5 linked regions of the Coturnix japonica genome follow. The protein of the gene in region 1 purifies or fractionates together with the protein of each later gene. This does not show direct contact. Links are inferred from orthologs where the notes say so. Each region holds a gene or a part of one and is shown in the gene's direction. Other genes may lie near its edges.

Region 1 (4,113 bases):
CTAATCATCTTGTGTTGCTCTATTCCCAGCCGTTGTGCAACTCCACACCCTCGGGGGACACGGGGGGTCAGGAGTTGCCCAGCTGTGCTCTCACTCAAACCCAACATGCCGTACCTGCTGCTGCCCAGCTCAGCTCCCTGCAGGGCTGCTCCGGACAGACAACTTCCAGCACCCTGCAGCCCGCAGGGTCAGCCCTCCTATGAGCCACCTATGAGCCGGAGCAGCTCAGAGCCCCCAGCCTCGGGTTGCAGTGCTGGGGGAAGGAGGGGACACGAGGACAGCGAGCAGCACAGCGCACAGATCCGAGCCCTGCTCTGTGTGCCCAGCAGCATCCTGCAGCACCGCCCGCTCCGTGACAGCCGGGCACCGGTCAGTGGGAAAACCTCTCCCGTGAGAGGCCCACGCCGCGGGGTCCCCGCGCCCGGTGCTTCCTGCTCCTCCCCGTGTGGGTGCAGCGGGCGGGCAGTGACTCACCGTGCCGCCCGCCCGGCGCTTGGCGGGGCCCGTTGGGGAACGATGGGGCGCAACGGGGCGAATTGCAGCAGCGGGAGCGCTGCCCCCAGCCCGGCCGGTCCGAGCGAGCGGTGCTGGGGACGGGCCGGGGACACGAGGGGCTGGCGGGGCACCACGAGCCAATCCCGGCACGGGCACCGCGGCACTACGGGGTCACGCCGGGGATGCGCGGCGGCTCGAACCGGGAGCCCGGCACGGCACGGCACGGTACGGCACGGCACCGACGGGGCGCACGGGGAACGAGCGGGGGAATCCCCGGCACAGCGAAGAGCCGGGACGACCCGGGACCGACCCCAACCGGGCGGCAGGAAGAGAACGGCCGGCGGTGCCGTGCGGACAGCTCCAGCACCGGGCACGCCGCGACCGGACGCCCCGCGCCCTGCGGTGCCGCTCACCTGCTCTCTTGCGGGGGCTCCCCGCTGAGGGCCGCTCCCGGCGCTGCCGCCCCACGCAGCCGCCCATGGCCGGGGCTTCACCGACGGCGGCGGCGGCGCGGGCGGCTCGGCATGTGTCCGGCCGGGCTCCACGCCGCGCTGCACCGCGGGCTCCGGCGTCGTCAAACCGCCCCGCCCGACTCCGACCGCCCGAGCCGCCCCGCCGCCAAAGCCGGCCCTGGGCGCGCCCCGCCCCCCACGTGCGCATGTGACCGCCCCGTCGCGGCCGCGGCCCCGCGGGGAGCGCCGCCCACGTGCGCGCGTCCGTCCTGCCCGCGGCTTTTGTCCCTCCCGCGCCGCCGTACAGCGCCGTGCCGCCCCCACCAATACCGGCCGGGGGGGCGAGGTGAGGAGGGGGCGCCGGGGTCGCGCATGTGCCGTGGGCTCATGCCTCGGGGCTGCGCGTGCGCACGGCGGGAGCGCGGCCGGTGTGTGCCGGGGAACGGGCCGACATGGCGGCGGGAGCGGAGGAGCTCGGTGCTGCCGTGCGGGACTGGGTGAGCGGGCAGCACGACGGGCGCAACGCGGAGCTGGCCGCAGGTACCGGGCGGGGCGGGGCGGGGTGGGGTGCGGGGCTGCTGGGCCACGTGTCCGCCAGGTCCCACGAGCCGCACGGCGCTGTGACAGACACACGTGGGATGACGGGGGGATGCCGGCATCGTGCGGCCTCCGTGACCTGTATGGAGTCACGGCTGGAAGCGTTACGGTACAGCACGTAGCGCTGAGGGAAGGACAGGGTTTATTCTGAGCTCGGCGCCTTCTGTGTGACTGTGGGAAGAAACACGTTGAACGAGCTTCCTTTGTGCGCTGCATTCAATGTGCCCTGACAGGTGGGAGGCAGCTCGGTGCTGTCGCAGCTGGGGCTGCGTAAGGCAGCGTGTGTCAGAGGGGCTGAGTGTGCTCCTGTTAAAACACCGGGAGACGAATGACGCCGTTAGAGAAATCCATTGTGCCCGCTGGGAATTGCTGCACTCCCATTGTAAGGGAGCTGGGGAAACGTAAGGAGAAGAAAGTGTATGGAAATGATATATGAAATGTGGCACGTGAAAGGGAGATGTCAGGGAAGGCTGATGGGTTTCAAATAAGAATATAACAAAGGGTAACTTGCTCGCTTCTGTTTAGCCTCACACTCTAGGAACACCACCAGGGCAGGGCAGCCCTTCTGGTAAAGGAGCACACTGGGATACAAGGTGCACAGCTGGAGCTGAGCTCGCAGTTCAGCTGTGCTGCGTGCTGCTGCTGCTCTGCATGCTGCTGGGCTCGTGTGGTTCGCTCATGCACAGTGAAATCGAGCAGACCTTTGAGACCAGAGCGAGGGGGTTCATAGCCACAAGAACACGGGTGGCTGATTGTGGCCAGATCGTTACTCTTTAGCTCTTTCCTATTGGTGAGGTCACCGGCACCTTTGTCTAAATATTGCATTCAGGCTTTGAAAGTGTAGAGCAGGTCAGTGCTCACCTGTGGGACTGGTGTGTCTCTGACCTTTTGCATCATGCAGAGGTCAGAGTCATGAGGATGCAGGAGCTGTGCTCTGGAATAAGGTGGTGGGATCCTAGGTGTGAAGGAGCACTCTGCTTTGTGCTCAAGCACAGTGCCTGCTTGCTACCATGCTTCTGTTTTCCTGCGAGAGGCTTTGCCAGCAGCTCAGTCTCACTTGAGGCACCTCTTCTTCAGCCTGTGGCTGTCCATCCTGCGGCCAGCTGGACTCTCCTTTTTCCTCATGGCTCTCCATGCCGTGCCTCCTATCCTCTTTGTGCCAAGTGGGACTGGAAGTGCTGTCTTTGGAGCCAGGGCTGCTTGCTAACAGAAATTGTGGGCATTTCTTCTTCCATCCACAGAAACTACTCTCCAATGAACAGCACAACTTAATACTGGAATTAACTGCTTTAGAAAGAGACAGTAAATGCTGGCAATAGCAGGATACTCCAGCTGAGGCAAGGCCTGGGACAGTCCCAAATGAAACCTCTGGGCTTTCTGATAGGTGGGTGCCCCACCAATTGTGTAGACAAGCCCTCAGCAGGGCAGAGAAATGGTGAATCCTGGGGACCAAAGGCACGCAGAGCTGTTTTAGTGGGTGAGTGTTGCACTGACTGCAGGGGTAGGAGCCCCTCTGCCGTGGCTTTTGAAGGGTGCAGTAGATTCTCACCAAAGCCTCCTAGGGAGTGACTCTTCCCCCAGTTCAGTTGCAGGAGGTAAGTGAAGCAACCTGGCTGGGGTGCCTGAGTCAGAGCTGCAAATACACTCCAGCAGTCCCAGCACTGTGTCGTACAGTAACCACAAAACCATATTTCTCTGTGCTTTCTGCCTTGGAGGGCATTTGTGCAGGTGTTGCTCAGAGTAGAGGTGATGGAAGCTGAGTGCTTGTTAATGTCTGGGCTGTTTGGCTCAACCACTGCCTTGTTAAGAGCTTGGTTTCTTTTGTCCCCTAGGGAGCATCGGGAGAGCTGCTCTCTGCCTCAATAACTGTCTGGGAGTCTCTTTGGTTCACTCTCTTTATCTCTTTTCTCCAGGGGTGAAAGATGGAAGCTGGACTATTCTGCAGCTTGTGGAAGCCCTGGGGTAAGGAAAGCTGTGTACACATTATACATCGTGTAAGGGCTCTGTGGGGGAGATTCCCATAGTAAGGGGCAGTGAGAAGGAAAAGTGTGTGCTGACATCTCGTCCTGTGCAAACTGCCTTCAGCACCACCGGGCACACAGACACACCACAAGTTTGTTGCCTGCTCACTGCACGTTGCCCTCTCAGGGCATGGGAGCCCTCCAGGAAAGGGCAGGAGGGGCCTGTAAATCTCTCCTGGGACTGAGGAAAGGTGTTGCAGCATGCAGCAAGCCGCAGAGCACATTGCAGCTGAGACTCCCTAGCAGGAGCTGTCTGACCACACAGTTGCCCTTCTCCATGTCATGAGTTGACTGCCGCTCAGCTTTTAGTTCTGTCTCTGAGCTGTCACGGGCTGGGATTGGGGAACCTCATTTCTTTCCAGCTTTGTCTCCTTGTAGCAGGCTTTGCCCTTTTTCATCTCTTGTGATCTTGGGAGCCTGACTTTTGGTTGCGGAGCATGGTGCAAGAGCAATTTCCTTGGTCTGACTTGAGAAGAGGCCTCTTACCTTGGCTGTGCTGCTGTGTGAGACCAGGTGCTCGTGAGCAGCATGGTCAGGGGAGCAGGAGT
Region 2 (4,175 bases), on another chromosome or scaffold:
AGCTGGAGGTTATACCAAATGACCCAATCACAGGCTCCTCTTCACCAAGCTGTCTGCAGAAGGCCTCGATCTCTGCTTTAAGAGCTACTTGCACAGAAGTAGGTATAGTTCCACAGAGGCCTTCTTTCTTTCTCACACACAGAACACACTAGCAATGACTTTGCTGATTAACTAAAATCAATTACTTTTCATAGTGGATGATACAGTTTTTAGAGTAGCTGGGACTGAGCAGCAGAAAGGAGGACCAGGGCTACATCCATACCAGGGGAGAACCTGTACCAGTGACATATGTGGCCAGCAGATGTCAGATACTCTAGTGGACCAAATGACTGGGCCGTCCATCCAGCTCTGTGGTATCAGAGGGAAAGGTGAACTAGAAACAAAGCCTGAACAAAATATATCTGAGCCTTTGGGGAAGCTAAGTCAGAGCACGGAGCCAGCAGTGCTGGGTGGCAACACATGCAGCATGGCGGCATTAATTCTACCTTTGCAATACAAACCTGCTTCCTGCAGCAGCTGGAACACGCAGCTGGTGGTGGTGTTGGAGATGGCAGCCTTCCCCTCCATCCGGTCCTTCCTGGCAGCATTCCCCGCAGTTATTTGGTCCTTGGACTGCATCAGAACGCATCCCGGGATATCAGGCAGCTCGTACACTTCTTTCGTTTTACCTTCGTTAACTTTTTTACCAAGTTTCAGTTCTAAAGAAAAAAAATAAAACACAATGAGGAGCGTTTTAGATGCAGAGTTTTGGTTGCGTACGTCAGCACACTTAAGCCTTCACAACTTGCTCGCTGCATCCAGATGCCGAAGCGCAGCTGAGCGGCACGTCCCGCGGTGCTGTGACCGCAACTCCGGGACACGGACAGCAACATCAGCGACGGAACGAGAAACGTGGCCAACAGAAACTTTTCCGCAGACACCCGAACGCGGAGCACAGCCACACAACAACAGCACAGCCCCACAACAGCACAGTGCGGCTCCGAGTCCCGCTCCTACGCCCTCCTCCCCGCGACCGCCACCCCCTCAGCACCCAGCGGTCGCGGCGCGCGTTACCTGATGCTGCGGGGGCCATGGCGGCGACGGCGGCGGCAACAGGCACCTAGAGCACAGGAGAGGAGCTGAACGCACGCGGCCGACCCGCCGCGGGGTAAGAAGGGCCCGGCGGAAGGGGCGGGCAGGCGGGGAGCGGATCCCGCGCTCCAATCGGCGCCCAACACGGCGGGGCCGACCCGCGCCCCTCCATCCCCACCCCCCGAGCGCACGCTGCCCCGTCCCGCCTCGGCCAATGCCGGCTCCCCGCGGTCCCGGCGGCGGGGCGGGGGGTGGAGAGCGCAGGGGGGGCCGGGCGGGGAGCGAGGCCGGAGCCCCCCCCGCATGTAAATGAGGAGGCCGCCCGGCGGGGACCGGCGGCTGCGCGCGGTGCCCGTAGGAGAGCGCGGGAGGATCCGCCGGAGCGGAGCGGGACGGGCCGGGTCGGGTCCCGCCGCCACGTGCCGCCATGGAGCTGGAGGAACTGGGCATCCGCGAAGAGTGCGGCGTGTTCGGCTGCATCGCCTCCGGAGTGTGGCCCACCGAGCTGGACGTGCCCCATGTGATCACGCTGGGGCTGGTGGGGCTGCAGCACAGGTAAGGGGGACGGCGCCCGACCCTGCAGGGGGAAGTTAACGCGTGGCCGGGCGCCGGGCCGGGGCGCCCCACCGAAGGGTGAAGAGGAGCGGGGCTGCCGGGGGCCCGTCCTGTTCCATCCCGCGGCAGCCGGGCAGCCTCCCCGGGCCCTCAGCAGCAGCGGCTCCCGGGCACTCCGCGGACTTCGCCTGCAGCCAACGAAGCGGCATCGCCCCGGCCCGGCCGTGCGGGGGGTGGCAGGGATGCGCCTGGCTCTCAAGGACCCGCTGCCATGCCCTGCCATGCCGTGCCGTGCCACGCCATGCTATGCCCGGCATTGAGCGTCCCTAAATGCAATCCCACCGACCTGAATCTACAGAACCAGAGCGGTTCTCGAGGAGTCCTAAGTTCCTCTTAGCCGTAACCGTTCAGATGCATCATAATAATAAAACTCGGCGTCTACCTGAGGTACCTCTATAGCTGTGTAAAGGAAACTGCATTCACCGCGATTCATTGAGGAAAGTGCGAGCTCCTCGTGGGAGCAGCCGCACGCACATGCTGTGTGTGGCCCCGCTGGCCTACGAACACCTGCATAATATTGCTTAACTTCCTCTGGGTGAACGGTAGGAACATTGACATGCAGGGCAGCTCGGGAAGGCGTGCTGCTCTAAGTACACATGCACAGATTTATTCTCTATATTTTGAGGTCACAAACATGTAAGGGTTGCTCCGAATTTGTTTTGGGTAGTAGAAACAGTAGAAGATGCAGTCAGTTTTTCTGTTAGAGCCCAGTCTCATACATTTACAGGTAAAAAAAACTTGCACTTACATCCTAACAGTTTTCTTTGGGTTGCAGGTGTACCATCATTCATGAACTGTACATGTTTGCCAGTGCCCATCAAAATCGTTTTTATTGGGGATGATAAAGCAACAGAATGTAAGGAATGAAGCCATGTGATCAGTGGCCTCATTTTTGGTTGAGCCATTTTTCTGGAAAGAGCCTGGAAAAACATCCTAGTTCATTTATGCTTACAGTCACGCTGCTGGACTTGGGTGAAGTTTCTTAGTTGGAAATAAAATGCTGTACTTTCATCTCTTTGCAGCTTACTCTCAGTTTTTACTGCAACCTTGTTCAACACATAGCTTTCTTCCTCTCTTTTTGTAATGGACACTTGACTTTGATTTCCGTGAGCTCTTTAATATCAAATATCTCCTGTGGTGCCTTATATGATAATAATGCTAACGTTGTGGCTGAAGCTGTAAGCTATTTGCAAGTTATGCAAAACTACAGCATAAGCTCCTAATGTCATACAGGCCCTACCTCTGATGCTGATCTCTTATCTCAGTATGGGTCAAAATTCTCAAAGGATGCTTTCTTGGAGACATAAACTTGGATGTAAGTGTAAAATGAAACTTGTTTGCTCTCACTGTAAAGTGAACGGACATTCAACTTGATACACATTTGCAAGCAGTCAATATCAAGTGTTATATAGCTGAGATGTTAACTTTCCCATTTCCTTCTTTGCCATTTCTGTCCATCCTCTCTGTACTTCTCCTTAGCATTCTGCTGTGAGGTGCAGTGAAATGTGCCATCCCTTTCCGGAGGTAATAAGGTACCAAGTTTGTTCTTACTTCTTTTTGGAGTATCTCTTGAAAACCAAGAATAAGATAGATAGCATTAACTGCATTGGTAAATTTTGTTAAGTCTGTTCTTTTAAACTGAAAAGCTAAGAAGTGTCTCTTAGCCATATTCCTTTTGGGGATTAAATCTGAAAGAGAGATGCAGTTAATATTAATGGATAGTCCCAACCATGTCCTGAGCAACTAACAGAGGTTTCATTGTCCATTGGAAGCTACATCCCTTAGGCCTCACACTGAGATTAATAGGGATGTTTAGATAATGACTACTGGCCTGAGATGAGCACGGTCACAATTCTTTTACATTGCTAATTATTCTTATGCTATACATGTCAGAAATTGTCCTTTAAGGAAGGCAGAATATGGCTTTTTATTGGCTTTTACTTTATAGTCATGTACCATGAATTGAAACAAAAAACTGAGCGTATTCCTGCTTGCGCACTAATCAAGGCCTTCCCTGCACTAAGAACACAGTCCCAGTTTAACTAAGGACATATTCTAAGTCATCTTTATGAAAAGTAAGCTAGAGAACAAAGTAAAATCCAAGGACAGCAAACCAAAGTCAAGTTAAGGGATATTGGTAAGGAGAGGGTTTTCTTGGGGGCAGTGAGAGAGGGAGGAGGAGTACTTTGAGTTACAAATCTATTAAACGTCATTGAAGTCCTTGACCAGGACAAATTTGCAACGTTAATCTTGGAACAAGTGTGATTCCTGTTAACTTTTTGCAAAATTCTCTGGAAAATACTTTTGGCAGTAATGCCGTGTGCTGAAACTGATGTTCATTTCAACAAGGTCTTTGAAAGTCCTCTGCTGTGCAGGTGGAAGCCTGGTTAAGGAAGGGAATCCTGCCTGTCCCAGCTCAGCTGGGTCTGTGTGTGGAATTTGTTAGGAGAATGGAAGTAAATGGAGAAGAAAACTTGCTTTTCTGATAC
Region 3 (4,065 bases), on another chromosome or scaffold:
AACCGGTGATGGCTGTTTTGAAGTAACCCGGCTCGATGATGCTCACCTTCACCCCGAAGTGCCTCATCTCAAGCCTGGAAGGCAGCGATGCAATGGGATGGGAGCAGCAAAGGGGGGTGGGCTGAGTGGGGACGGCCTCGCTATGGGGCACAGCAGGGAAACCCAACCACAGAGGGCACCACGAGCAGCCCAGCATGAGGCTGGGATGGTGCACGAGCAAACACTGACCGCAGTGGGACGGGATGGGGTCAGAGCAAACATTGGAGCCGCTCCATGGGACACACAGCGGGGCAAGGTCCGAGTAGCGGGGTCCGACCAGCCCCATAACGCTGCCAGGCAGAGCAGGGGGGAGCAGGACTCACCGCAGACTGTCGGAAAACGCCTCCACGCCGAACTTGGACGGGCAGTAGCCGCCCCCGAAGATGGACAGCCGGCCCACCACGCTGGCCACGTTGACCACGCGGCCCCTCGCCCTCTTGATCAGCGGCAGGAGGCTGAGAGTCACCTCGATCAGCCCCACCAGGTTGACGTTCAGCACCGCCACGAAGTCTTCCTTCCTCAGCCACTCGTTGGGGGCGGAGGGGACGGCGATGCCGGCGTTGTTCACCAGCCCCCACAGCCCTGCAATAGGGCCGGGATGAGCCGAGACCCCCGCTGGGCGCCCACTCCCCACACCCCGACCCCCTCCTACCTCTGTCCCCCACTCGCTCCCGCACCCACGCGGCGGCGGCGGCGATGCTGTCGCTGGACGTGACGTCCAGCAGGACGGTCTGCAGGCGAGACGAGGCGGCCGCCCGCAGCCTCGCGGCCCCGGCCTCGCTCAGGCAGCCCGCCAGCACCCGCAGCCCCCTCGCGTCCAGCTGCCGTGCCAGCAGGCTGCCAAAGCCCGAATCGCAGCCCGTGATCAGCACGAACTTCTCGTCCAGGCCGCCCACCGTCTGCCGCTCCAGGTTCCAACGCCGCAGCAGCCACAGCCCCAGCAGCGCCAGCAGCCACAGCCACATGGTGGGGCGGCAGCAGGAGGAGCACGACGAGGAGGAGGAACGGGACGTGGAGGCGGCCGGGACTCGCGTGGACACGGCACAAAGCGCAGCCCTGAGCTCTGGCTCCGGCCCGTGCCGACCTTGGACCGGCCCAACTCCTCGGGGCCGGTGTGTGTCAGTGCCAACACATCTGAATACGGGGCCGGGCAGCGGCTCAGCCCGTCCTCCCACGTCCCGTGATTTCAATCCCCATCCGTGGCCCCTCGGCTCGTTGGCAAAGCCGCCCCTCGTTGGCACGGGGCTGAGCTGCCCTCGAACCACCACCCAACTTATGGGGGGTCTCAGGGGCTCCGCTCCCGGGACTCGGCCGCTGTTCAAAGCAGGGACGGGGTCGGTGCCGGTGCTGAGCCCCCCCGGGGGTCCCCGTTAACCCGCTCCGGTTCCCCGACGGCCGGCGCTGTCGGAGCGGTTCAGCTCCGTTCCGGGAGGGGTCGCACTACATCTCCCAGCGACCACTCGGTTTCTTTCGGTCCCGCCGTTTCCCTCCGCTTCCCGTCATGGCGCCGTTCGAACCGGCTGCGTTACCGGAGCTTCTCCCGGTGTTCTACCGACGGCTCTTCCCACACGGCGCTTACGGCCGCTGGCTCGGCTACGGCGGCGGTGAGCGAAGGGACCGGGCGGGGTCGGGACGGCGAATCGGTGGGGTCTACATCCCCCCCAACCCCCCCAATCCCCCCAACCCCCCCAACCCGACCCTCTCCGCATCCCCGCAGTGGAGAAGAACTATTTCCAGCTTCGGGAGTTCTCCTTCACGCTGCGGGACGACGTTTACGTGCGGTTCCAGTCGTTCTGCAGCCCGCAGGAGCTGGAGAAGGAGCTGCAAAGGACCAACCCCTATAAGATCGACATCGGGGCCGTATATTCGCATCGCGTTCGTATCCCCCCCCCACTCCCCTTCTTCCACCCCTAAACCCCCCGGTGGCTGCGGGATGTGACCCCTTGTGCTCCCCGCAGCCCAACCAGCACAACACGGTGCACCTCGGGGCGTTCCAACCCGTGGAGAAGGAGCTGGTGTTTGATATCGATATGACCGACTATGATGATGTCCGGACGTGCTGCAGGTCCCTGGGGGGGTTTGGGATGGGGAGGGGGGGGTTGTAGCCCCATAGGGCCCCGTTAGCCATGGGGGGGGTTGGGGATGGGATGGGGGGGGTTGCAGCCCCATAGAGCCCAGTTGGCCGTGGGGGGGGATGCTTGGCACCCATCTGACCGCTGTGCTCTGCCCACAGCTCGGCTGATATCTGCTCCAAGTGTTGGACTCTGATGACCATCGCTGTCCGTGTGATCGACCGTGCACTCGTGGGTGAGGGATGCAGGGATGTGCATTGAGCACGTATCCAGACCCTGCTGTCCATTGTGATGCCTTCAAATGGGTCTGGGGGAGCACTGCTATGGGGCTGGAGTGCCTGGAGTGCTCCCCCAGCCCCACTGTGCCCCATAGAGGACCTGGGCATGAAGCACCGGCTGTGGGTGTACTCAGGAAGGAGAGGTGTCCACTGCTGGGTCTGTGATGACGCCGTACGTAAATGGTCCCCAGCTCTGAGAGCTGCTGCTGTGGAGTATCTGAGCCTGGTCAAGGTGGGTGTATGGAGGGGGGGGGGGTTGTGTTGCCCACCTGGTTGGGCTGAACAATCTGACATTAACAGGGTGGAGCTGAGACGGTGAAGAAGGTGAATCTGTCAGAGCCTGTGCATCCATTCATCAGGTGGGTGGGGATGGGGATGGGGGTGCTCTGCCTGGTGTTGTGCTGATGGTTGTGGGGTGCTGAGCTGATGGTTGTGGGGTGCTGTGCTGATGGTTATGGGGTGTTGAGCTGATGGTTGTGGGGTGCTGTGCTGATGGTTGTGGGGTGCTGAACTGATGGTTGTGGGGTGCTGAGCTGATGGTTGTGGGGTGCTGAGCTGATGGTTNGGTGCTGAGCTGATGGTTGTGGGGTGCTGAGCTGATGGTTATGGGGTGCTGTGCTGATGGTTGTGGGGTGCTGAGCTGATGGTTGTGGGGTGCTGTGCTGATGGTTATGGGGTGTTGTGCTGATGGTTATGGGGTGTTGTGCTGATGGTTATGGGGTGTTGAGCTGATGGTTATGGGGTGCTGAGCTGATGGTTATGGGGTGTTGAGCTGATGGTTATGGGGTTCTGAGCTTCTCCATCTGCTCCTCAGACGCTCAGTGAACGTGGTGGAGAAATACTTCGAGGCGTATGCACTGCAGGGCCAGGACATCCTGGGCAGCCCCGAGCGCTGGGACAAAGTGCTTGCTCTGGTTCCAGACGGTATCCTTCTATCCTTCTCTCCTTCTCTCCTTCTCTCCTTCTCTCCTTCTATCCTTCCATCTGCTGGGCTCAGGGGGGGGTTGTGTTGGCTGTGATGGCCCTTAACAGCCCCGCAGAGCACCGGGAGCTGCTGCACACTGAGTTCCCCAAGAAACGTGACTCGGGGCAGCGCTGGGAGCTGCTCAAGGGCCGCATGGAGAGGACGCGGGTGAGTGGCTATGGGGCAGCTATGGGGCAGCTATGGGGCCGTGCTGCCCCTTGACTACCTGTACCCACAGCGGGCTGCGGGCAGCGGGAAGGGCACGGCGTGTTATGCAGACTGGGAGATCATGCTGCAGTATTGCTTCCCACGGCTCGACATCAACGTCAGCAAAGGCATCGGGCACCTCCTGAAGAGCCCCTTTAGTGTCCACCCCAAAACAGGTGGGTACCCTAAAACAGGGGGGTACCCCAAAGCAGGCGGGTACCCCAAAATGGGGGGGGTGCAGCTGGTTGTGGGGTCAGCACCCTGCTATGGGCACCCCATGCAGCACCTCTCTTCACCTTCCCCTATCTCTGTCCCTTGTAGGTCGCATCTCGGTGCCGCTGGACCTGCAGAGGTTGGATGAGTTCGACCCATTCTCAGTGCCCACCATCAGGTCGGTACATGGGGTCGGTGTGGGGGGAGCCCTGGTTGTGGGTAGCCCCTATTATGAGCAGCCCCCCCCCACCATGTCCTGCATTGTCCTTCCATGCAGCTCGCTGTGCCAGGA
Region 4 (4,275 bases), on another chromosome or scaffold:
GCTGGACATGAGCCAGCAGTGTTTGCTTGCAGCCCAGCGACTGACTGTGGCTCTGGGTAGCGAGGTCTAGTGGTTGGTGACCCTGCACATAGTAGAGGGGTTGATCATTGTGGTCCCTTTCAACCCAGGCCATTCTTTGATTCATTGTATGATTTCTTGGGAAGTACCCTGAAAGATGATGCTAAGGGACTGAAAATAAGATATATAACAGAATATAGAGCTGGTAAGTGTGTTTACCATAGCAGCCTAAGCATACTGAATACGCATGCAGGGAGAAGGCAACCTGTCAGAATTACTTTAGGATGACAGTGAGATGTATCTAGATTTCCTCCACCTGTGTGCTAGAGTTTTGGATGGGCAATGTGGGGATACAATCCTTTAACCTAAAGCCCTGATGAGTGATTTAAAATGTCACAACGGATGCAACCATCATTACTCCCTACTTTAATATATTAACACTGAGAGACCAAGAATGTATTCTGACTAAAATAGCCCCTTGAGCCTCTCTTCAGTTCATGATTCATGCTTTGCTCACTTTGGAACATGAAGGAGTTTAAAGGCCAGCTCAGTACATTTCCCATTTATTTATAGTTAACACAAAGGTATCTGCTTATCACAGTCAGAAGAAAAAATATCTTAGTGTAACTTGAATGGCAGATATTTTACGAAGTAGAAAATAACTGGGCTCCCAAGAATTAGCAGTGCTGTGGACACTGCTAATTGGTATAACAACAGGGGAACAGATAACATTCAATCATGTTTACTGCAAAACAAGGGCTTTGTTGTTCTGTTATTTCGGTAGCACAACAGTAGGAGTTTGAGGTATGCTGGATTGGACTGTGCTTAGTTGGGGCTGTGGGGACAGTTTGACAGCTGGCCATATGGATGTTGTAAAACATTTGTCAGGTGGGTAGTTGGAACACCAGCGTTTCTGCTAACAAACACTTCTAAAATCAGAGTCTGCTGGTAACGTTGCTGTGGAAATGATGAAAATAGAAAGGGAAAAAAGTAAGTAAAATGGTATTGTGAGAACTATTGCTGTGTATAGGTTTTGATTTGGTAAGTCAGTAGGAAAGTTTGGGTTATGACACCTACTGAGTTGTGGTGTTTTCCCCCACGGAGATACCTATCCCCTACTTTGTTTCCACTTCCCAAGAGAAGGATTTCTGCGTGAAGGAGCTGGCAGCCCCCTCACAAGGTATTGCATGGTGAGATTTGAGTCAGGTAATAGAGGCTCCCCGCTGCAGGTGCTGAGAGAACTACCATAGAGTGCCTTTGGCGGCTAGAGAGCCCACAGCCGACATGTTGTTTGTGGGTAAAAGCGGGGCGGAAATTAGCGAGCAGGAAGCAGGCGGGGCGACCGCTGCGCGGGAAGCCGGAGCGGGTCCTGGTGTTGGCTTGGGGCTGGTGGGATCTTGTGTGACCCTTCAGCCCCGTCCCTCAGCCCTTTTCGTTTTCTTCGGTCCGCTCTGCAGATGGAGTTCAGCAGCAGAGCGCGGCAGCGGCACCTGAGGCTGGCGGGGGACAAGCGGGAGCCGTACCCCCACAGCCTGCAGTTCTACCAGGAGCCCCCCACCGAGACCATCTCTCTGAACGAGTTCGAGAGCTTCGCTGTCGACCGCCTGAGGCGTGAGTAGTGTGAGCTCTGAGCGATTTCACAGTTCAACTGAAGTGCATACAAATCGCTATTATGTGGTATTGGGTTATAGCCTTGTTTTTCAGGGTCTCTGGATGCCTCTCTTGGATGTCTCTGTGCAGGCACTGAGGTCATGGCTGGGAGCAGTGCCCCCAAAGAGCCACAGAATGCAGGTCTCTGTCCCTGCAGTGCAGCTGGATGCTCTGGGGCTGATCTTTCTCCCTGCTCTGCTCCCTGCCTGGATTTTAGGGCTGGGCGAGCTGTCAGGTTGGACTGACATAGTAGGCGTGGTGTTGATGGGTTGGTGTTTGGACTAGATGATCTCAGTGTTCTCTTCCAACCTGAATGATTCTGTGATAGGTCCTGTGGGCTATGGATGAGTTGGGCCATGCTTTGTCTTTCTAAATTCTTATCCTTTTACTCCTGATACTGCTAACAGGAGTTTGCATGGCCTTTATTTAGTCCTTTTTTCAAGTCATGATAGAGTTAGCTTCCTTTTCAATATGTTATCATAGAATTATAGAATGGCTTGGGTTGGAAGGGACCTTTAAGATCCTCTAGTTCCAACCTCCTGCTATAGGAAGGGACACTTCCCTCTAGACCAGGTTGCTCAAAGCCCCTAGCACTGAATGCTTCCAGGGAGGGGGCATCCACAGCCTCTCTGGGCAACCCGTTCCTGTGTCTCACCATCTTCACAGTAAAGAATTTCCTCCTAATATCTAGTCTGAATCTACCCTCTTCCAGTTTAAAGTCATTTCCCTTCATCCCTTCACTACCTGCATATTGTGACTATATGGACTACAACTAACTGTGTTCTAACTATATGAACTATGTTTTTTTTTTTTCTCCTCAGTGCTCAAGGTAGTTGAAAACCTTGGTGTGAGCTATGTAAAAAGTGGTGATGCGTACAAAAGTAAGCTGGAGGCTGAGCTCCGGAAACTTAAGTTTCCCTACAGAGTAAGTATAAATAGAAACAAGCAGCTATTTCTTTTGCACTCTATTTTCTGTACACTGTTCAGAAATTCTGCACAAATTACTATTCCTAAAGCTTGTATTCTGGCAGCTTGTCTTTAACTTAAACTTTGTCTTTAAAAATACATGTTTATTTTGGGCAGTCTGCCTCTTTAATAGTCCTGTGTTTGAGGTTATAGATATAAGTATTGATATGATGTGAAACAGCAGTGGTGGATAAACTGTGGATTTCTAATCTAATTTCTAATAACATTTTCTGTAGGCTTTGGCTGAAGATGATTATGATGCAAGAAGAAAGGACCATATTTCTCATTTCATACTGCGCCTTGCTTACTGTCAGTCGTAAGTACTTTTTGGATTACTTTTTGGTCTTGTTACTAAGTTTAAGTGTATGTGTGTATACATATTGTTATAGATTGCATAGGGCTGTATCTGTATGGCTACTAAACAGAAAGGTAGTTCAAGTAGAGGTTTACTTTTCTGGAAAGCTGATTTCAACTGTGATGATAAGAGATATTCAGGATCAGAATTAATATCCACATTATATAGTTTTTTTAGTCTTATAATATAGAAACTGTTGATTGTACATATGGAGTATTGATAAAAGTCACTTTCTTTATTTTCAAGAAAGAAATCAAAAGGCAGCCAGTTTTGTCAGTCATTGATTTATCTGATTACAGAGAATTTAAATGAACTGCTCCATATATTTCAGCTGTTGCTTACTTGACCAAATGACCTGAGTAAGCTGGTTATGTGAATAGGCTTTATGGTGCTATCTAAAGAGAGCCTTATTTCTCAGAAACCAAAAATACTGAATCTGAGGTTTTCTCCACTGCTTGTTATTTTCTTCTAAAGTAATTGATTTTTACATTTTTATTTGTTTATTTATTTTGTCATGTGAAATCTAAGGCACGTAGTTTGTCAAGTGCTTTCGTTCTGTTTCTGCAATAGGCTCTGGGTGAAGTTGTACAGGTTGTCAGTGCCTTATGTCTATTAACAGCTTTGTTGTGCATCATCCTGACTCCTTGCCATTGCAGTCCTGTTTTATAGTTAAAACTAGTGAGTGTGTGTTCTCTCTTGAGAAGTGGCTATTTCTGAAATGAAATATTTGAAATGAAATATTACTCTCTAAAGCCAGATGTTCTCCAAAAGATAAATTTGTGAGTCAAATACCCAGTTCTGCAGGGTTTTATTGTATTAGGTCAGAAAAAATTTGCACAAATTGCTACACTAGGTGATGAAAGCAACTAAGATAGCAATCTTTGAAAAGTCTGCTTAACATAGCTGTGAAGTTGCTTGATTTCAGTTCCTGGTTGCTTGGCAGAGGGGGTGTTGACAGGCCTGTTCTGCTATGCCTAAGTTTCTAGCAGTCCAACAGTGCCACCCAGTGGTGCAAGTCTTCATCATCTTTTTTCTGCATCAGACCTCTGATAATGTGGATTTTGCTTTGTACTGGTTTGTACATGGGCAAAATGGCATGAAGTGATCAGCTGCACCTTGTTTGGGCTGGTAATAGAGTCATAGCCTTTCACTGTCCTTCTGCCTTCTGAAATCCAAGGCTTTAAAACTTACTCTTGTGTAACATTCCTAAGGTAGGATTTGTGCAGTCTTGAGTGAACAGGTTCATCCTTACCCTTCATTCATACCTCTAATGTCACTTAAATCCA
Region 5 (4,161 bases), on another chromosome or scaffold:
AAGTAAAACTCAACCATCACATCACACCTTGCCAAAACTTTACATGAAATTCTACTTGCTATCTACCTCCTTCTCTATAATCATTTCTGAGTTGCACAAAGTCAAAAAACCACATGTACCTAACAGTCAAACCTCCTGAATTATAAGCTTAATAAAGCTGAAAAAGAAGTACCGTGAAGCCTGTATTTCCTCTCTCTTGGTAAGGTTTCTGTTCATGTTGGTAATGTGACTGGCTACACTGGAGCAGAAGTATTGTTTAACAGTACCCTAATCCTGTTTAGCTGCCCATCAGGGTACAGAGGTCCTCCTGACACATGAGCAGCCAGGTTTAAGAAGCATGACCAGCTTTAAGTTAACTGACGTCGGAAAAGCAGAGTTCAGCAGCGAGGCTCAGAACTCACACGTGCTCCTGGGAGCCCAGCCCAGCCTTGAAAGACTGCTTAGGAAAAAAACAGGTTGTTACAACATTGGATCTTTGGCCATTAGTTCCGTCTGTACCATGAAACTCACACTGTTCAGAGCATTTGGCATCCAGCTGCTTGTGTCAGCTGCTGTGCCACGTTCTCAGTTCCCAGGTCTTTCGTGTGAACAGGTTCTCCCAAAGCACACACCTTCTACAGCACCAGGAATGAAAGGGTGAGGTGCTGTGGGTATCCAGCAATGCTTTTACTCCATCCTGCCCTGACATGAGTACCGTCAGCGCTTGGACATCTCTATTACGCACTCAAGTGCAGCAAAAAATAGCTATAATTGTCAGGCACTCCTTACTTTGAGTACAAAGCAGCTTTGTATTTTAGAGCTTCAGGAAAATGGTCTCCTGTATGAGTCAGCTGCCTTCTAAAAAGCATGATGTGATTTCAGTAGCTTCCCCTTACAGTAAGGCCGACACCTTGCGATGTAACCAAGCAGTCTGACCTCCCTCTCTGCTCTGTGTATAGATAGACATGCATGGATGCATACACAGCCACCTACAGATGGTGATGTTACATGCAGACAAAATAGAGGAGAGGAAAATGCCTCAGGAGAGTTAGAGATCCAGGCTCATAAACTACCTCCATTTCTTATGTGACTGACCCTAAACCCCATTAAAGACCCCCAGCTTTTAAAGCACTTTCTCCCCACACCAGCACCTTGCTATTACCAGCAAGGGATGTGTTTAATGCATGGTAATGTCATGCCCCTTGCAGGCAGCGCTTAGTAAAGCAGGCTAGGGAAGCTTTAATCCCTTTGTGTCATGTGTGTGTCTTATGATAAGGATCTATCAAGCAAGGCTATCAATAAACCCAACGGAACGTCATTTTGCCTCTATCCTGAATATCACGACAGGGCGCCATATCACGACAGCAGTGTGGCTTTTACGACAGTGTCGCAACTCCTGCCCCTCCCGCTGGCTGCCGCGCTTGACGGCGGCGGCGCTGTCATGGCGTCTCCCTTCAGCGGGGTGCTGCAGCTGACCGACCTGGATGATTACATCGGACCCTCGCAGGTGGGTGTCCAGGGGGGCAAGAACCGCAGGGCCCGGCCTAGGAGAGCCATACTGGAAGGGAAACAGGGAGTAGGGGGGGGGAGGTGAGGAGACAGCACTGTGCGAGTCTAGCTGTGCAGATAGGGCAGTAAAAATGACATAAAATGCTAAAAAAGCCCTTGGGGCTCCATGGTAGAGCAGCACAAAAATCAGGCAACAGCTGTGCTGAGCCTGTCAGAGCCTTTCCGACATGACATGGAACCCCATTGGCAATAGCCGCCCGCTGGCTGTAGTGACCACGCCTCCATCCGTTCCAATTTGCAATGAGGGAATGCGAGATCGTCTGTGAGATCTAAGAGGGGATCAAGGCTCTGTGCTTGTCAAGGCTCCTTTTAACGCAGCTCTGTGATTCGGAAGGGACACAGTCTCCTCTGGCTTTGGTGTGATGCTGAAAAGGTGCTCGTTCTGTAAGAAAGGGGTAAGGTTCTAAGGACCATTTTCCCTTGGTGGATGTAGACACAGTCAGTAGATCTGGCATCATTTAAAGCAGAGTAATAGACATTCGCTCTATTGGGTTTGACCGTTCGAGTCTTGTCTCTTCACTTCTGAGCCTTATTTCTCTTTTAGGAATGTATCAAACCTGTAAAGGTGGAAAAAAAGCCTGGGAAAGCAGCAGCTAAGATCAGAATTGAAGCTGATGGGAGCTATGTTCAGATCACTCAGGTATGCCTGACCTTTCTTTATTGTTGTGTAAGATATCCAGACAATGCTGATGGTTAGTTATGTATTTAAATAAGGTGCCGCTATTTAAGGACCAGGATCTGGGAATGCTGATGACAACAGCAAAATATATTACAAAATCCTTTTTTCCTCACCTTTATTCTTCCTTGTCTGCTCTTGATAAGCCAGGAGGGTAAAGAGGACAATATCCTTATTACTAAACATAGTAAAGATGAGAAACTGCCACCCTACTCAATTCTGTGTTGTGACCAAAACTGAGTCTTATCTGTTTCTTCCCAGGATGGAGAAGCACAGAAACTGGAGAAGGCTAAAATTACTCTGAATGACTGTTTAGCTTGTAGTGGCTGCATTACATCAGCAGAGAGTGTTTTAATCACTCAGCAGAGCCATGAGGAGTTCTCCAAAACTCTAGCTTTTAACAAGGTAAGTGATGAGACAGGGGCGGGTCAGCTGCAGAGTTAGTAGATGTGAGTATTAGTACTGTCTGATCAGCTTTCTTTTGTTGCTGTTATTATTTTTAAAGGCTGCAGCTCCCAATGAACAGAAGCTGGTGGTGGTTTCTGTTTCACCACAATCCAGGGCTTCACTGGCTGCAAAATGTAAAATGAGCATTCTGGAAACAGCAAAGAAGTTGACTGCATTCTTAAAGAGTCAAGGCAAGTGCTGCATTGCGTCCTACCCATGACAGAGGGGACTGCTGGGCTATCCATCAGGCACAGCTTTTATGAGCACCTAAAGGTGATATGAATTAAGAAGTACAAACTTCAGTCACAAAATAAACCTGGAGTAATGGAGGAAAGGAGCTTTAAATTATCCGCATTCCTCCTATGACTTCTGCTCTTGTCCTGCTGTGCTAGAGAAAACAGTTCACTCTCAAATACAGATTGATAGCAGTAAATATGATGTGTAGCTTGCTGCTTGTATCTTCCTTGTGAATTCTAATGTGCATGTTGTACCACTTAGGTGTGCACTATGTATTTGATACAACTTTCTCAAGAAACTTCAGCCTGCTGGAGAGCCAAAAGGAGTTTGTAAAACGCTTCCGAAGGCAATCAGAAGACAAAAAGGCTTTGCCAATGCTAGCTTCTGCCTGTCCAGGTACATTACAAAGTTGGTTACAGAAATAAGATGCCATTCTAATAATACACCTATACAAGAACTCAAAAAGCTAGTCAGAAAAGTTCATATTAATTTGCTTAAAGTATTACTCTTCACAAAGAGAGCTTGGTGTTAATAGTGGTAATGGTCTGTAGAAATACCTACTCGCCTCTATAAATGGAATTGTTACACCTCTTTGCCTTTTGTGCTGAGGCTGAAAATGGTTATGAATGGGTGGTGAGCCTGAGGTTGTGGGCAGAGTGAAGGGGTGCTTGCTATTTATATGTATATATATATATATATATAACTATATATATATATATAGTTATATAGTTATATATAGTTATATAGTTATAGTTACTGATTGCAACTATTTGCTAATTATTCTCTCTTCAGGTTGGATCTGCTATGCAGAGAAAACCCATGGCAGTTTCATCATTCCTTACATCAGCACCACTAAGTCTCCACAGCAGATCATGGGCTCCTTGATAAAGGGCTATTTTGCAGAGCAGCAGGTAAGGTGCATCAAACACAAGCTGATACGTTTTCCTGTACTGTGTACATTAAGGATTGAAGATAATTGTTTTTATCTTGCAAATTGCCAGCAAAGGCATTGTCACTTCTGTGATACCTGTTAAGAAACTTGCAGCTGGGACAGCAGCACTAAGTTCACACTTTGTGGCTTGAAATCTCTATATATTATTCAGGAAGTCTAAGGAATCTGATTTGTCATTATTCTTGTGCTTATATCTCACTCGTCCTGTATGGTATTTTCCTGCTGATCAAGGCTGGTGAATAAGGTAAAATAAACTAACCCAGGACAAAACCTCAGTCAGTGCATACGTGCAGATCATGCC

What was found. The genes of interacting proteins can lie anywhere in the genome.
Region 2: the proteins of MMS19 (region 1) and PPAT purify together in Homo sapiens (affinity purification with mass spectrometry; 3 studies listed by BioGRID and IntAct, with this or other methods). This does not show direct contact. The link is inferred for Coturnix japonica from reciprocal best matches to the Homo sapiens genes MMS19 and PPAT.
Region 3: the proteins of MMS19 (region 1) and PRIM1 purify together in Homo sapiens (affinity purification with western blotting; 3 studies listed by BioGRID and IntAct, with this or other methods). This does not show direct contact. The link is inferred for Coturnix japonica from reciprocal best matches to the Homo sapiens genes MMS19 and PRIM1.
Region 4: the proteins of MMS19 (region 1) and PRIM2 purify together in Homo sapiens (affinity purification with western blotting; 5 studies listed by BioGRID and IntAct, with this or other methods). This does not show direct contact. The link is inferred for Coturnix japonica from reciprocal best matches to the Homo sapiens genes MMS19 and PRIM2.
Region 5: the proteins of MMS19 (region 1) and CIAO3 purify together in Homo sapiens (affinity purification with mass spectrometry; 3 studies listed by BioGRID and IntAct, with this or other methods). This does not show direct contact. The link is inferred for Coturnix japonica from reciprocal best matches to the Homo sapiens genes MMS19 and CIAO3.

What each region holds. Positions count from the first base shown.
Region 1 is NC_029521.1:19,483,586-19,487,698, forward strand, and holds the start of MMS19 (MMS19 nucleotide excision repair protein homolog), read left to right. Parts: upstream 1-1,313; 5' UTR 1,314-1,399; coding exon 1,400-1,487; intron 1,488-3,457; coding exon 3,458-3,506; intron 3,507-4,113. Other genes in the region: UBTD1 (ubiquitin domain-containing protein 1), read right to left, coding at 909-1,155. UniProt on the Homo sapiens protein: Key component of the cytosolic iron-sulfur protein assembly (CIA) complex, a multiprotein complex that mediates the incorporation of iron-sulfur cluster into apoproteins specifically involved in DNA metabolism and genomic integrity.
Region 2 is NC_029519.1:58,388,138-58,392,312, forward strand, and holds the start of PPAT (amidophosphoribosyltransferase), read left to right. Parts: upstream 1-1,375; 5' UTR 1,376-1,498; coding exon 1,499-1,626; intron 1,627-3,218; exon of another isoform or gene 3,219-3,233; coding exon of another isoform or gene 3,234-3,254; intron 3,255-3,264; exon of another isoform or gene 3,265-4,175. Other genes in the region: PAICS (multifunctional protein ADE2), read right to left, coding at 501-698, 1,054-1,072. UniProt on the Homo sapiens protein: Catalyzes the formation of phosphoribosylamine from phosphoribosylpyrophosphate (PRPP) and glutamine.
Region 3 is NC_029544.1:1,686,240-1,690,304, forward strand, and holds the start of PRIM1 (DNA primase small subunit), read left to right. Parts: upstream 1-1,265; 5' UTR 1,266-1,540; coding exon 1,541-1,643; intron 1,644-1,756; coding exon 1,757-1,914; intron 1,915-1,997; coding exon 1,998-2,104; intron 2,105-2,272; coding exon 2,273-2,346; intron 2,347-2,484; coding exon 2,485-2,621; intron 2,622-2,689; coding exon 2,690-2,748; intron 2,749-3,203; coding exon 3,204-3,313; intron 3,314-3,429; coding exon 3,430-3,521; intron 3,522-3,591; coding exon 3,592-3,736; intron 3,737-3,881; coding exon 3,882-3,951; intron 3,952-4,050; coding exon 4,051-4,065. Other genes in the region: retinol dehydrogenase 16-like, read right to left, coding at 1-74, 363-621, 692-1,004. UniProt on the Homo sapiens protein: Catalytic subunit of the DNA primase complex and component of the DNA polymerase alpha complex (also known as the alpha DNA polymerase-primase complex - primosome/replisome) which play an essential role in the initiation of DNA synthesis.
Region 4 is NC_029518.1:79,161,343-79,165,617, reverse strand, and holds the start of PRIM2 (DNA primase large subunit), read left to right. Parts: upstream 1-1,475; coding exon 1,476-1,629; intron 1,630-2,489; coding exon 2,490-2,593; intron 2,594-2,870; coding exon 2,871-2,950; intron 2,951-4,275. UniProt on the Homo sapiens protein: Regulatory subunit of the DNA primase complex and component of the DNA polymerase alpha complex (also known as the alpha DNA polymerase-primase complex) which play an essential role in the initiation of DNA synthesis.
Region 5 is NC_029529.1:5,995,599-5,999,759, forward strand, and holds the start of CIAO3 (cytosolic iron-sulfur assembly component 3), read left to right. Parts: upstream 1-1,361; 5' UTR 1,362-1,420; coding exon 1,421-1,486; intron 1,487-1,808; exon of another isoform or gene 1,809-1,910; coding exon of another isoform or gene 1,911-1,943; intron 1,944-2,092; coding exon 2,093-2,188; intron 2,189-2,485; coding exon 2,486-2,629; intron 2,630-2,729; coding exon 2,730-2,862; intron 2,863-3,169; coding exon 3,170-3,304; intron 3,305-3,700; coding exon 3,701-3,819; intron 3,820-4,161.